Linked DNA regions of Oryctolagus cuniculus. The protein of the gene in region 1 interacts with the protein of each later gene in a biochemical or structural test. Links are inferred from orthologs where the notes say so. Each region holds a gene or a part of one and is shown in the gene's direction. Other genes may lie near its edges.

What was found. The genes of interacting proteins can lie anywhere in the genome.
Region 2: the proteins of TNKS (region 1) and RNF146 form a complex in vitro, tested with the Homo sapiens proteins (3 studies listed by BioGRID and IntAct, with this or other methods). The link is inferred for Oryctolagus cuniculus from reciprocal best matches to the Homo sapiens genes TNKS and RNF146.
Region 3: the proteins of TNKS (region 1) and AXIN1 form a complex in vitro, tested with the Homo sapiens proteins (2 studies listed by BioGRID). The link is inferred for Oryctolagus cuniculus from reciprocal best matches to the Homo sapiens genes TNKS and AXIN1.
Region 4: the proteins of TNKS (region 1) and TNKS1BP1 form a complex in vitro, tested with the Homo sapiens proteins (2 studies listed by BioGRID). The link is inferred for Oryctolagus cuniculus from reciprocal best matches to the Homo sapiens genes TNKS and TNKS1BP1.

The regions. Positions count from the first base shown.
Region 1 is NC_091433.1:79,202,678-79,206,935, forward strand, and holds the start of TNKS (poly [ADP-ribose] polymerase tankyrase-1), read left to right. Parts: upstream 1-1,458; 5' UTR 1,459-1,557; coding exon 1,558-2,230; intron 2,231-4,258.
Region 2 is NC_091436.1:42,353,579-42,357,078, reverse strand, and holds part of RNF146 (E3 ubiquitin-protein ligase RNF146), read left to right. Parts: intron 1-2,641; coding exon 2,642-3,500. UniProt on the Homo sapiens protein: E3 ubiquitin-protein ligase that specifically binds poly-ADP-ribosylated (PARsylated) proteins and mediates their ubiquitination and subsequent degradation. May regulate many important biological processes, such as cell survival and DNA damage response.
Region 3 is NC_091450.1:34,321,523-34,325,022, forward strand, and holds part of AXIN1 (axin-1), read left to right. Parts: intron 1-1,668; coding exon 1,669-1,809; intron 1,810-3,500. UniProt on the Homo sapiens protein: Component of the beta-catenin destruction complex required for regulating CTNNB1 levels through phosphorylation and ubiquitination, and modulating Wnt-signaling.
Region 4 is NC_091432.1:14,805,518-14,809,017, forward strand, and holds part of TNKS1BP1 (182 kDa tankyrase-1-binding protein), read left to right. Parts: intron 1-1,503; coding exon 1,504-2,874; intron 2,875-3,500.

The DNA.
Region 1 (4,258 bases):
ATTAATATTACACTAATTATATTTAACAATGGACACATGAAATAACTATTTTTCTCCTGGTTTAATATTCTGCTTGATCTATCTGAACTTTGCTTTTTTTCTTAGGACATGGACTTCCCATCTGTGCCCACTCTACTGGAATAATGCAGTTTGTGTCTACTTCCACGATCCCTGCTTCACCACGGAACAAGCAGTGTGAGATGGAGATCTCCAGGAGGCTATCCCATTCATGGGTACGTCTCTTTTGATGGCCAATGGAAAAAGTAGGTATAGGCAGGAGAATGAAAACATAGTTACCGAAAAGTTGCATTTATGAAGGTGTGTGAGGGACAGCGGTCAGGTTTTCATCTTAGTTTGAGGGGGAGAGAGGGGTGGGGTGAGAGTAATGGAAGGGAAGAGAGGCCAAGCTAAAAAATAACTTTCATAAATAGTCAAATTTGCTGTAGGAAATAAAAGTACAGAGGTAATAGAAGAGGAAAAATCATAATTTTAATACTTAGCACTTATGGAATTATTGTTATTCCGATTTTACAGAGGGGGCACTGCAAGACGGAGTGCTTGGTTGTTTAGAGTCTGCCCGAATTTACACCGTTAGTAAATGCCAGAGCTTGAATTCCGGTCCTGGCAATCTGAACCACCAGTTAAAAATGTTAGGTTAACAAAGTACACACATAGAGTGGGAAAACTTGTAGGGGTCAGGCCAGTCCTGCGGCATAGCAGGTAAAGCTGCCACCTGCAGTGCCGGCATCCCATACGGGCGTGGGTTAGAGTCCCTGCTGCTCCACTTCCCATCCAGCTTTCTGCTATGGCAGATGGCCCAAGTCCTTGGGCCCCTGCACCCTTGTGGGAGACCTGGAAGAAGCTCCTGGCTCCTGGCTTCGGATCAGCCCAACTCCAGGTCTTGCAGCCATTTAGGCTGTGAACCAATGGATGGAGGACCTTTCTGTCTGTCTGTAACTCTCCCTCTCAAATAAATAAATCAATCTTAAACAAAAACAAAAACAACCTTGTAGGGAAGGAACAAGAGACCAAGGGAATAACTGGGGAAGAAAGACCGCTTTAAAAAATTACCAGTGGGCTGATGACAGCTACATATTACTGACAATCGGAGCATTTTGTCTATATCAGCTCATTTAATCCTGCAGGCGATTCTGTGAGGTGGGACCTGATGATGAAAAACATTCTCTGCTTGCACCGAATTGCGCCTCAGTTGCTGACTCTGGAGCAACACAAGGAAGGCTCTAGGAGACTAGGGCACGGAACTGAGCAAGGCAAGGCAAGCAGGCGGAAGGTGGGAAATGCAGGGAGAACCTGGTTCCAGCGTTCAAATCTCTTCGCCGGCCCGCCGGGTCGTCACAAAGCCCGCCCCTCAGTCACGAAGCCACGCCCTCCGCCTCCGAAGTTCTCAGAGCTCCCAATACTTCCCTCTTTCTCTTTGACCCGCCCACCCCGCCAAGCATCAGTTCCTGTGCGCTGACTGCTGATTGGCCCAGAGGTCGGAAGTGAGGGCGGGCGGTGGGGCCGTTGCCGCAGTGACAGAGCTGGGGGTGTCCGAAGATGGCGGCGTCGCGTCGCTCTCAGCATCATCACCACCATCATCAACAACAGCTCCAGCCCGCCCCAGGGGCTTCGGCGCCGCCGCCGCCACCTCCCCCACCTCTCAGTCCCGGCCTGGCCCCAGCGACCACCCCAGCCTCCCCAACGGCCGGTGGCCTGGCCCCCTTCGCTTCCCCGCGGCACGGCCTAGCGCTGCCGGAGGGGGATGGAAGTCGGGATCCGCCCGACAGGCCCCAATCCCCGGACCCACTTGACAGTACCAGCTGTTGCAGCACCACCAGCACAATCTGTACCGTCGCCGCTGCGGCCGCGGTCCCGGCGGCTTCTGCTTCGTCTGCCGTCGGGGTCGCTCCCAATCCAGCCGGCGGTGGCAGTAACAATTCACCGTCGTCCTCTTCTTCCCCGACGTATTCCTCCTCTTCCTCTCCTTCCTCCCCTGGATCGAGCTTGGCGGAGAGCCCCGAGGCAGCCGGAGTTAGCAACACAGCGACACTGGGACCTGGGGCAGCGGGACCTGGGACAGGGGTCCCAGCAGTGAGTGGGGCCCTACGGGAACTGCTGGAGGCCTGTCGCAATGGGGACGTGTCCAGGGTAAAGAGGCTGGTGGACGCGGCAAACGTCAATGCAAAGGACATGGCCGGCCGGAAGTCTTCTCCCCTGCACTTCGCTGCAGGTCAGACTTTTGAATTACTTATTAATGGTACCGGGGTCAGGGCCGGGGGTCCGGCTATGAAAAAACAGGTAATTATGATGGGGCGAAGTGGGGGCGTGGCCACGGCCGGTCCACTCTTCGCCGGAAGACCAGAGGTTCCTTTCTTTAGGGAGCGCCTGGGTGCCAGGGGTGTGGGAGGGGAGGTGTGAGTCCGTTCTTTACTGTTTGCAAACTGATACCTCTAACGAGACTCCCTGTAGTCGCAGGCGCGGGATAGTTGGAAGTACTTAAACTTTTTCGTTCCGAGTGTACAGGAATAAAGTTAAGATTTGGGCGGCTTTGGAGTCGCTTTGTCGTCGCTGTGGCCAGTTTGTTTTCAGAATAAGGGTCTGTCCCTTGAGGACGGTCTAGATCGGAAGAAGTTTAATGTAACTCCGCAGGCGTTTACAGATTTTTCCTGTTGATCTTCGTAAAATACATTAATAAAAGACATAACCGAAGTTTTGGCACCTCCCTCTTTTGAAGAAGTTTGCTGTACAGTTGAGACCAGAATATGCCTGCATGAAACAACTGGGAGAAAAATATTTGGATGCATTATGTGACAATGGAAGAAATACAGGCTTTGAAGTTTTGTTATTTGTCTAGCAGGCCGTTTACCTTAAATCTCATGGGCAAAAACAGATTAAGGTTATTTGAAGATCTAGTAAGGAGTATGCGGCATATGACATCTAGGAAAAAAGTGGGAACTCCTAACTCTGGGTACTGCACTTTATCTGCCTCTCCCTCCCTCTCTCCCTCCCTTCCTTCGTCCTCCTTCTTCTCTCTCTCTCTCTTGTTTAGCAAGTTGTTGATTATTTTCTTTTAAAAACACTTAATATATTTTTATAAATTACAGGGACATATAGAACAAAGACAAAAAATTAAACATCAGAAATATTACACTGAAATTATACACCTTAAAAACACATTACAAAATCCAAGTAGGACAGAAAGATATACAATGAAAAACACCACCCCCACACAGAAACATCAAAGCTAACACACCAAAGATACCCTCTGTTAAGTTTCTTGCTACATTTCTGATATAAGTCACTCCTTCAATTTGTTCTGTTAATAGTAAACATGTAAAGATCTCACTGTATTATTCATTCTTACCACAATTTGGGAAATAATATTATCCTCATTTTACAGGTATTAAACATGTAGCACATCTTGTTTAAATTTGCATTCACTCAGGAGGTGGTTGAACCTTAAGTTCAAGCACTTGGGTTCTAGAACTTGTGAAATCAAGCTTTAATGAGCATACACTGTCCCTGATTTAAAGTCACTTTTCATTTTGTGAGTAATTATAGTGCAGGTTTTCTGATTTTCGTGATCTATTAGGAAGAGAAGTAATAGTGAGCTTACATGTAAGAGTAACTTTCACTATTTTTTTAAATTGCAGTCCATACTTAGAAATACACACAAAGTTTCATGAAACTGTACTTCCCCTTACTACATGTGCTATGCTCTGATATTTTACGTTGTATTCTATTTCATTTCATTTTTAGCAACTACTGCTTGTGATCCATTAGGTGGGTCCTGACCAGTGGTGTGGGAAATACAGGAAATCGTTATTAGATCACGATCCATTCTTCATACATCGACACTGCTCTCAGGAGTGCAGTGAAGCGAATCATAAACAGGCTTGCATCCAACTAGGTACTCCTTCGAGGGTCTTGCTTGTTTTAAATGAGATACCATTGCTCTGTCTTCACGCTAAATGAAAGCTCCATCTGATTTAAAAAGTCAACCCAGATTTGTTCTTTCCCATACTTTATTCCAAATCTGATTATTTTAACATTGCTTCACAAATTTTAGCATTTCTAATTTTACTTCCATTTGACTTCCTTATAAGTAATCACTAACAAATGTAATTAGTTTTATTTATTTGTATATTAGTATATTTAGGATTAAAACTTAGGGCTAGTCACACTTAAAATAGAGCTCGTCTTCCAAATCGTCTTCTGTCTGCAATGAGTTACTTTTAATTTTGTTCTAGAGTTTTAC
Region 2 (3,500 bases), on another chromosome or scaffold:
ATTTTAAGCATCAGTTAGTGGTTTTGAATCTCTGATATCTTTACTTCCATTAATCAGTCTTATTTGTCTCTGGGCTACACCCTGTGTCATTTTTTCCTGTTTTAAAATAGCTATTGTTTCCTGTAACTATGTGATAAAAGTCAAGCCACATATTTCTTTAGCAGGGCACAATAAGGCTTTTATGATTCGGCCTCTGATTTACAGCTTCATCTCCTGCTATCCTCTTGTTTATGTGGCTCAGTGCTTTGCACATGTCTCTGAAGTCTCCACTTCCAAAGCCTCTCAGCATCGCAAACATTGTCATCTCTTTTGTTATGATACATTTTGATTACTGCAGGAATATTGTGCATATTATGATTGTTTGCATGTATATTTCCTTAATAGACCAAGTGCGTGGCTGATTGATTTTTAGAGCCATCGAATACTCGTATTGTGTATGAACTATGGTAGGGATCTGATTTGATAAAGTAGAAATTCCAAATTTTATGTCAGTGTGTTTAATCAATACTTAATTTGACAAATCGTGCTTTTCTTTCTTTTTCCCTCTTCTTCAGGGCACCTTTGATATTCATGTCATTTTCTCCCCTGGTCTTCTATAGATTGTAATCTTTTGGAGCTTTAGTGAGTTAAACTTTGTAAATTCTGGTTGGCAGGTAAGGAAGTTTAAAGGTTTAAAGGTTTAACTGAGTCCCAAAGAGCACATAATTAACAAAGAAGATTAAGACACAGGTTTTTAGTTTTCTTGTCTAGTGTTGATTTCACAGTGTAGCAGCTTCCTTAATTCAAGTTACCCTTTCTCTCATGGCTGACTACAGCTTCTCATTATATAGTATTTCAGTGTGCTGCTTCAGGGCTGATCTGTAAGTCCACTGGCAGAATTTTTATATATTCCCAAAGTATATATAAGTAAATGCTTATATCAGGTGGTTTCACTTAATATTATTTAAAGTAAAATAAAAATACCAATTTTATGATACCATGATGTGTTCATGTTATTGTTTGAAAAAAAAACATTTTTTTAAAGCAAATATTTGAATGTTCTCTATCTGCCAGATCCCGTATGCAAATAGAGCAGTGAGCCAAAAATGACCTGTTCCTGCCCTTACAAAGCACACCAGCTTGTGGGGAAGACTGACATTAACAAAATAACCACACAAATAAATGTAACATTGCAGTTCTGATAAGGAATGAGGAGTGCATGGTAGTAACGAATTAGTAGCATGATCTGACTTCCTCATGGAGGCTTTCTCAAAGGGATCGGAGATGGGTAGTAGCTTATGAAAGGCAGGAGATGAGGAGGGACTGTTTATATAGAGAAAACCTATGATTGGTAGGAAGTAGTCAGTGTGCTTAGAAGTCTAATGGATGTTTGATAGGAGATGGAGGTTGCAATGGGAGGTGGGGCCCAGATCATGGGGAATCTATAGAGCCCTGTTAGAGACTGGTCTGTATCCTAAAATCAAATTTTTAAGCAACAGATATGGCTGTACCAATTAAACAGTGTATGCAGTAATTCAGTAAACAATGCTTGGTAGCCAGGGAAAGGTGATGAATAGTAGATGGATTCAGGAGATACAACTGATAGGACTTGCTGATGTTTTGTGTAGGGAGGGATAGGAGAAGGGCAGTTTCTAGGTTGGGTTTTTGGGTAGCATAAGCTTTATGGATAGTGGTATTACCATGGGATTTTTATTGAGCAAAAAAGAAGGAACAGATGATTACAGTTTTTGTAAGATCTAATATAGGTAATTGAAAATACAGATTTATGACTGAAAGGAGAGGTCTGGGCAAGTGATAGCAATGTGTGTGTGATTTCCACCTTGGCAATAGCTGATCCATGAGTACAGATGAGATCATCTCAAAGAGTACATTGATAACACATGCTTTAGAAAACAGACAAACGCAACCCCCCAACTCTCCATTTCAGAGAGAGGAGCTGGTCAAAAGTATGGCAGAAATGACTGGTTCAAGCAATAGTTTTAGATACATGCAGGGGCAGGGAATGTCTAAGGCTTTCATCTAAATTTCATATTTATCTGCTTGTTTAATACCCCAGATATATAAATATATGGCAAAATTTATAAAATAGCCACACTAATATCCTGTCTCCAGAATTGGTTTTTGCAGTTGTACTCTGAATTTGCTGTTTTGTTTGTCTAACTACCTTTCAGATTGACTGTAAAGTCAATTTAGGACAGATTGTTTATATTTCTAAATCTTTGCATTTAGTTCTGATGTATTCTGTGTCCAGATGGAAATAGTGTATTTAAAATCTGTGCTCTAGACATATATATATGTATATATATGTGTGTGTGTGTATATATATATATATATATATATATCATATATACAGGGATGTGTGTGTGTGTGTGTGTGTATATATATATATATATATATATATAAAATGGGATTGTTTCAGTTTGGTTTAACATTTATGTACCTCATTGTCCCCTGCAGTTAAAACTGATAGCAAAAATCAAAAAGATTTTGTATATAAATGGAGTTTTCTTCTTATTTTCATCTTTGTATCCCCATTGTTTAGTATGTGGCTTGCATATAATGTATGCTTAATAAGTGCTTTCTGGAAAGTGCTTTAGGAAAGTTTAAACACAATTACATTTTTTTTTTCTCATTTTCTTAGGATGGCTGGCTGTGGTGAAATTGATCACTCAATAAACATGCTTCCTACGAACAAGAAAGCAAATGAGTCCTGTTCTAATACCGCACCTTCTCTCACCGTCCCTGAATGTGCCATTTGTCTTCAAACTTGTGTTCACCCAGTCAGTCTGCCCTGTAAACATGTTTTCTGCTATCTGTGTGTAAAGGGAGCTTCATGGCTTGGAAAACGATGTGCTCTTTGTCGACAAGAAATTCCTGAGGATTTCCTTGACAAGCCAACTTTGTTGTCACCAGAGGAACTCAAGGCAGCAAGTAGAGGAAATGGTGAATATGCATGGTATTATGAAGGAAGAAATGGGTGGTGGCAGTATGATGAGCGTACTAGTAGAGAGCTGGAAGATGCTTTTTCCAAAGGTAAAAAGAACACTGAAATGTTAATTGCTGGGTTTCTGTATGTTGCTGATCTTGAAAATATGGTTCAATATAGGAGAAATGAACATGGACGTCGTAGGAAGATTAAGCGAGATATAATAGATATACCAAAGAAGGGAGTAGCTGGACTTAGGCTGGACTGTGACACTAGTGCCGTAAACCTAGCACGAGAGAGCTCTGCCGATGGAGCGGACAGCGTATCAGCACAGAGCGGAGCTTCTGTTCAGCCTCCAGTGGCGTCTTCTGTAAGGCCTCTAACATCAGTAGATGGGCAGTTAACAAGCCCTGCAACACCATCTCCTGATGCAAGCACCTCTTTGGAAGACTCTTTTGCTCATTTACAGCTCAGTGGAGACAACATAGCTGAAAGGAGTCACAGAGGGGAAGGCGAAGAAGATCATGAATCACCGTCTTCAGGCAGGGTACCGGACACCTCCATTGAGGAAACT
Region 3 (3,500 bases), on another chromosome or scaffold:
GGCCTAGGCTGGAACCAGGAGCCAGGAGCTCCATCCAGGTCTCCCACGGGGATGGTAGGGGCCTGTGCACTTGGGCCATCTTCCGCTGCTTGTCTCAAGCACGTTAGCAAGAAGCTAGATTGGAAATGGAGCAGCTGGGACTTGAACCAGTGCTCGTATGGCATGCTAGCATGGCAGACACAGCCTGACCCAATGTGCCACAACACCAGTCCCTGTTCTGCCTTTCAAAGAAAAAAGAAAGGAAAGGAAAGATGGGACATGTTGGGGCTGGCGCTGTGGCGCAGCGGGTTAAAGCCCTGGCCTGAAGCACCAGTAACCCATATGGGTGCCGGTTCGAGTCCCGGCTGCTCCTCTTCGATCCAGCTCTCTGCTGTGGCCTGGGAAAGCAGTGGAGGATGGCCCAGGTCCTTGGGCGCCTGCACAAGAATGATTGGGAAATCTGATTTTCGTGTATCCAAAATCAACATAAACAAAAAGAAAGGTAACATTAAGGGAGAAAATGCTTTTTGAATAAATAACCAGAAATTACTAATAAAAATATTTATTTATTTGAAAGAGTTACACAGAGAAAAGGAGAGGTGCAGAGAGAGAGGTCTTCCCTCTGCTCGTTCACTCCCCAGTGGCTGCCACGGCTGGAGCCGCACCAGTCCAAAGCCAGGAGCCAGGAGCTTCTTCCGGTCTCCCATGTGGGTGCAGGGGCCCAAGGACTTGGGCCATCTTCTACTGCTTTCCCAGGCCACAGCAGAGAGCTGGATCAGAAATGGAGCAGCCAGGATTCGAACCAGTGCCTGGATGGGATGCGGTGGCTTTACCCACTACGCCACAGCACTGGCCTCAGTAATAAGAACATTTAAATACTTAAATCAGTCTCCAGGACCCCTGAACCACCCAGCAGGAAATGGACAGGAAAGAAAGGCGTTTGCCCTCACAGTTAGGGTGCTTGTGTCCCCTCCTGACTCAGATTCTTGCTAACGTGCACCCTGCGGGGCAGCCGTGGTGGCTTAAGTAATTGGGGCCCTGCCCCCACGTGGGAGACTGGGGTGGGGTTCTGGGCTCCTGGCTTCAGGCTGGTCTAGCCCCAGCTGTTTGCAGGCATGTAGGCAGTGAATCATTAGATGGGAGCTAATAAGAAACAGAAAAGAAAACGGACAAGTGGTGTGAACAGGTAAAGAGGAAGAACTGACTCTACCTGCTGATCAGAATTAGGGTTAAGAGTGCACTTCCCAGCTGCTCGTGCGACAGCGAGAGTTACGGAGCCCTCCGGGGAGTGTGCGCCAGCGTAAGGGTGGGTGGGTGGGGCCCAGCTGGCGCCTGGCTCCGGCCTCACTGATCCCTGTGTGTGCTGCCCGGAGTGCTGGCCAGGAGTCTGGTCCCAGGTGGCAGCCAGCAGCAGGGCTCACGGACCACCTCCAGGGGCAGAACTGTGTCCCCAGCCCAGACGACTGTGAACCTGCACTTGGACATCTGGCTGAAAGCTGAGGAAAGACCTGGAGAGGTGCCCGCCCCTCCGGGAAGGGCCGGGTGAGGGAGGAGCAATGGTGATCTTGGCTTTCGCTGCTCCTTTTTCTGAGTTGCTTGCATTTTAGCTCATGTATTAAAACATGCAGACGAGTCTGAAAGTGGATTAGCTTAAGAGGCATTGCCACTCACATGACTTCCTGTTTGCAGATACGGGTCCTGGCGGGAGCCTGTCAACCCCTACTACGTCAACTCTGGCTACGCCCTGGCCCCAGCTACCAGTGCCAATGACAGCGAGCAGCAGAGCCTGTCCAGCGACGCCGACACCCTGTCCCTCACAGACAGCAGCGTGTAAGTCGTGCCCTTCCTGGGGAGAAAGTGCGGCCCGCTCAGCACGAGGGCTTGCCTCACCTCTGGTGCCTCCCACAGCACTGCCTTGGCCTGGATTCACGGCAGAAGTTCCCTGGGTCCCTCAGAATTTGGTGCACTGGGGATGCAGACAACTGCGTGTTCAATGGGCCCCTGAAACCCTGACCCAGGCTAGAGCCGAGCCTGCGGTAGACACACTGCAGAGCCGTGCAGACCCAGCACAGGTTCAGGTTGGTGATGAGAAGGGCCACTGCCCACCAGGTGGCGGTGACGGAGAGGCGCTCCCTGCAAGGCTCCTTGCTGCCGTCACCTGTGCTGGCAACCTGTTCTGCACTGGCTCATGTCAGGCGAACAGCTGGGGCAGGGCAGAGAACAGACGGAACAGCTGTGCTGTGCCGGGCCAGGTGCGTGCAGGGCTCAGGGAAGCCTGGTGCGTGCAGGGCTCAGGGAAGCCTGGTGCCTCCAGGGCTCAGGGAAGCCTGGTGCGTGCAGGGCTCAGGGAAGCCTGGTGCGTGCAGGGCTCAGGGAAGCCTGGTGCCTCCAGGGCTCAGGGAAGCCTGGTGCGTGCAGGTCCCCTGCTGCTGTGATGACGAGAGTGAGCTTACGCTTCCGGGAGCCCCCTTCACAGGTGTGATTGTCTCGTGCCCTGGTCTTCTGTGCGTGCAGACGGGACAGTGTAAATGCTCGGGCTGCGGGGCCGCTGTCTGTCCTGGTGGGGTCAGGTGGGCTCGGGCTGCGGGGCCACTGTCTGTCCTGGTGGGGTCAGGTGGGCTCGGGCTGTGGGGCCGCTGTCTGTCCTGGTGGGGTCAGGTGGGCTCGGGCTGCAGGGCCACTGTCTGTGCTGGTGGGGTCAGGTGGGCTCGGGCTGCGGGGCTGCTGTCTGTCCTGGTGGGGTCAGGTGGGCTCGGGCTGTGGGGCCGCTGTCTGTCCTGGTGGGGTCAGGTGGGCTCGGGCTGCGGGGCCGCTGTCTGTCCTGGTGGGGTCACGTGGGCTTGGGCTGTGGGGCCACTGTCTGTGCTGGTGGGGTCAGGTGGGCTCGGGCTGCGGGGCTGCTGTCTGTCCTGGTGGGGTCAGGTGGGCTCGGGCTGCAGGGCCGCTGTCTGTCCTGGTGGGGTCACGTGGAGTCACGTGGGCTCGGGCTGCGGGGCCACTGTCTGTCCTGGTGGGGTCAGGTGGGCTCGGGCTGCGGGGCCACTGTCTGTCCTGGTGGGGTCAGGTGGGTCGTGGTCACCCAGGAGCTGTGAGCCTGCTCAGCTTGCCAGGGCTGGGACTGAGCCAGGGCCCCCAGGTTCCCCTCCAGGGTCACAAGAAGCCTTTGGCCGTGGCTGCTGATGTGGTGTGAGTTGCGGCCACCATCTTGGTGGCTTCACTTGGAACCACTCAGGCCTGCCCACCGGGGCTCCTGGCCGCACCCACGGGCTGTGTGGTCATCGGGACGCCTCCCCTGCCCCACTTAATTCTTGTGTTCGATGTTGGAGTCAGAAAGATTTGAGGGAGACGGGGCAGGGCTTCTTCCCTGCTGAAGGATCCCACTTCATCTTTTGGTGAATGTGTTTTTGAGGTGTGTGTTTGTTTGTTCTCTTTATTTGAGAGTGGAGAGAGACGGAGAGCCCCTGTGGGCTGGTTCACTCCCCAAATGCCCACGATGATCAAGGCCAAATTTGGGAGCAGGA
Region 4 (3,500 bases), on another chromosome or scaffold:
AGACCCAATTGGAGTCCCTGGCTCCTGGCTTCAGCCTGGCTCAGACCTGGCTTTTGGCCATGATGTGGGGAGTAAACTGGAAGAGGGAAGATCCATCTCTGTATCTGCCTCTCTCTGCCACCCTTTCAGGCAAATAAATACATCTTTAAAACAAAAGCAAACAAGAGTGAGCGGAACAGAGAGGAGTAGGGACAGGTGAGCAGGACCCACAAAGGTGGCATTGTGGAGGGGCTGCAGATATTGGTAAGGACGAGGTCTGTGGCCTTGGAGGAGGAAGGCCCCAGAATCACTGGGGACTGAGGAAGAGGAGGTCAGAGCACAGGGAGCCAGGATGTTGGAAGGTTTGACTCTGGCTGTGGATTAAAGCAGCAACACTGGAGGAAGAGGAGGGTGGAGGGGGCTGCAGCGGGAAAGGGCTGTGGGTGCAGTTTAAGGCCGTCAGCTTTGGAACTAGAATATTGTAGAGAAGAGGGAGGGTGGCAGGAACAGGAGGGGCCTTGAGAAGCAAGTCAGACCTTTGTCTCTGTCCAGGCCTAGGAGGCGCTGGTGCAGAAAAAAAAATGCATCAGAGACAGAAGCCAGGGGAGCTTGACCTCTGGGGAGGGCAAAGGTCAGAGGGAGCCAGACTCACTTCATTGTCTGGGGACTGGCAGAGCAGAGGAGTGAAACGTGCCAGGCCTTGGGACCCCCTCTGCTGCCTTCCTCCCGCCAGTGTCTTCCTTCCGCAGCAGCTGTTGTCCTCTGTATACCCCAAGGGCTGTGTGCGTGAATCTGACACAGTCCTGGCCTGTCCAGGTCGCGTGGATGTTGTTGTTATCAGCCCCGTGGTACAGACAGGGAGGCTGCTGCAGGCTCAAGAGACCAGTGGTCGCCATCCAGAGCGAGGGCTTACAGCTTATAGGAGCAGTGCTGGGTGGCGCCATGCTGGGCACTTTCCCTGGCTCCCCAGCTCCCTTTGCCAAGTCCATGGCCTTCCTCCTTTGCTTGGGCAGCACTGGGTCCTAGGGACGCACAGGGGGAGTCGGGGGGAGTTGGGGGAGTCACTACTCCTGGGTGCTTCCCTGGAGCTGTGCTGGGCTTCCGGTCCTCCCACTCCTGCACGCCCAGATGGTCAGAGTCCCGGTTCCCCTTTTTGCTTTTATAAAGCAAGTGTTCTTGACCCGTTACCATGGCCTGCTAGGGGATCCTTAGATGCACTTTGGGTTGGGTGGGCGAGGGGTGGCTCCAGCCTCCTGAAATAGTGTCAGTGACCCTCAGTGAACAGAGCCAGGAGCCCTTCCTGGGACAAGACCCACAGGATGGCTCCAGGACCCCAGGAAGTTTGCGAAGCCCTCCCTGGGCCAGCTCCAGGGTCTCTTCCCACTATCCTGAGCTCTAGTTTCCTCCTCCCATCTGGGGAGTGAGAGGCCCAGGGAGGAGCTGGCCTGGGGTTTCTATGGGGTTGGAGGGGCCTCCCCGACCCAGCGGAGAGGGGAATGATGGCTCTTGACCTTTCTCTTGCAGGTTTCCAAGCCCTGGGATCCCTCAAGTCCAGGCCCTGCATCAGAGCCCGGAGGCTCTGCCAGCCTGGACCTCTCTTCCCCAGCCTCTGCCCCCGGGTCTCCTCGCCTTCCTCCCCACAACGAGGGCTCCCCCTGCCATGCTCTGCTGCCAGAAGCCCAGAGTCCTGCAGCTCCCCACGCTTCCCCCTGCCTCCCTGCAACCCCGGCCTCCCCGAGGGCAGCCCTCCCTAATGAGGGCCCCTGGCATGGCCCTAGCCCGGGACTCCCTAATGAGCATGTCCCAGAGGCCCCTGCACCCAGCAGCCCTCCCCTTGAGGGTGTCTCAGGGTGCCACGGAGTGGAACAGCCCCCACCCATCTCGCTCCAGCCCCCTGTTGAGGGGAGTGAGTTGGTGGATATCACTCGGACTTTCCCGTGTGGGGAGGAGGTAGCGGCCAGGGCTGACCCAGACCCCCGCCCTGTTAGCCTAGCCCAGCGCAGATTCTCTGAGGGGGTGCTCCGGCCATCCGGTGGCGGCCAGGACCAGGAGAAGCTGGGGGGCTCGCTGGCTGCCCTGCCCCAAGGCCAGGGGAGCCAGTCGGCTCTGGATCGTCCCTTTGGGAGTGGGACAGAGTCCAACTGGAGCCTGTCGCAGTCCTTTGAGTGGACATTCCCCACACGGCCCTCGGGCCTGGGGGTGTGGCGGCTGGACTCCCCACCCCCCTCCCCGATCACCGAAGCCAGTGAGGCCGCTGAGGCTGCAGAGGCTGGCACCTGGGCTGCACCCAGCAGGGAGGCAGGGGCAACCCAACAGGGTCCAGGGGCCGGGTCAGCTCCAGGGGGCTCGGGAAGGCCTAGTTCCTGGGTTCAGGGGGAGGATCCAGGCATCTCCCCACCTCCAAAGGGCGATGGGGAGAGTCACCCTCAGTCCCCAGCTGCTCCCCCGGAGCCCCTACCCCCAAGCAGGGGCTCCCCTGAATCACCCTTGCTGCAGGCAGAGGAGCGCTATGAGGAGCGGGAGCCTGTGGCTGGACAGGAGTGCCCCCTCCCCCTGGCCACCAGAGAGGAAGCCCTGCCCGTGCTGGAGCCGGTCCTGGGGCAGCAGCAGTCAGCACCCCCTGACCAGCCCTGTGTCCTCTTTGCTGATGTCCCTGACCCTGGGCATGCGATGCCTGCCGAGGAGGAGACCCTGAGCTTGGCCCGGGCTGAGACCACGCAACCCAGGACAGAGGCACCAGACCCCTGTCGAGTGTCGCCGGAGCCCACAGGTCCTGAAGGCGGCTCTCGCTGGCTAGATGACCTCCTGGCTTCCCCACCACCCAGTGCCGGCAGCACGAGGCGGGGAGCTGGAGCGGAGCCAAAGGATGTCCAGTCACAGAGTACCCGCTCTGAGGTGAGGGCAGGGGCATGGGGAGGTGGGGCCTTGGGATAGAGTTGGGAGCGGGGCAGCTCTGGACCTGCACCCTTAGCCCTGTGATGTGGTGAAGCTGGCAGAGTTGTACAAGACTGTGTGTAGGATTTAGAGTGAGTGCAAGTCCTGATGCCAGCAGTCTTGGGAGTGTACCTTAACCTCCAAGCTTCAGAGTCTGTTCATGACAGTAGCGTTTGCCCCTGAGACTTGTACTGCAGGTCACATGAGATGGGAAGGGCGCTTGGTACAATGCATGGCCTAAGTGTCCCTTCCATCATTACCAGGAATGTTCTGCAAGGCCAGACAGCGTAGCCATTCTGAGTGTGGGCTCTGGAACCTGATGGTATAGCTTTGTCACTTGGCTCTGCTATTTCTTTGTCCAGTACCTTGACTAGGTTGCTTTTTTGCCCTCTGCCTCAGTTTCCGCATCTGTAAAATGGGGATAGCAGGTGAGTTGTGGCTCAGAGGGTGATGGTGAGGGTGAAAAGAGTTATGATGTATGAAGTACTGAGGATCCCGCTGGGCTCATCATAAGTGCTTTAGTAAGTATTCATTGATGTTACTATTATTGATCTTAAGGCCTGCTGTGTAGACTGGCAGCCGAAGCC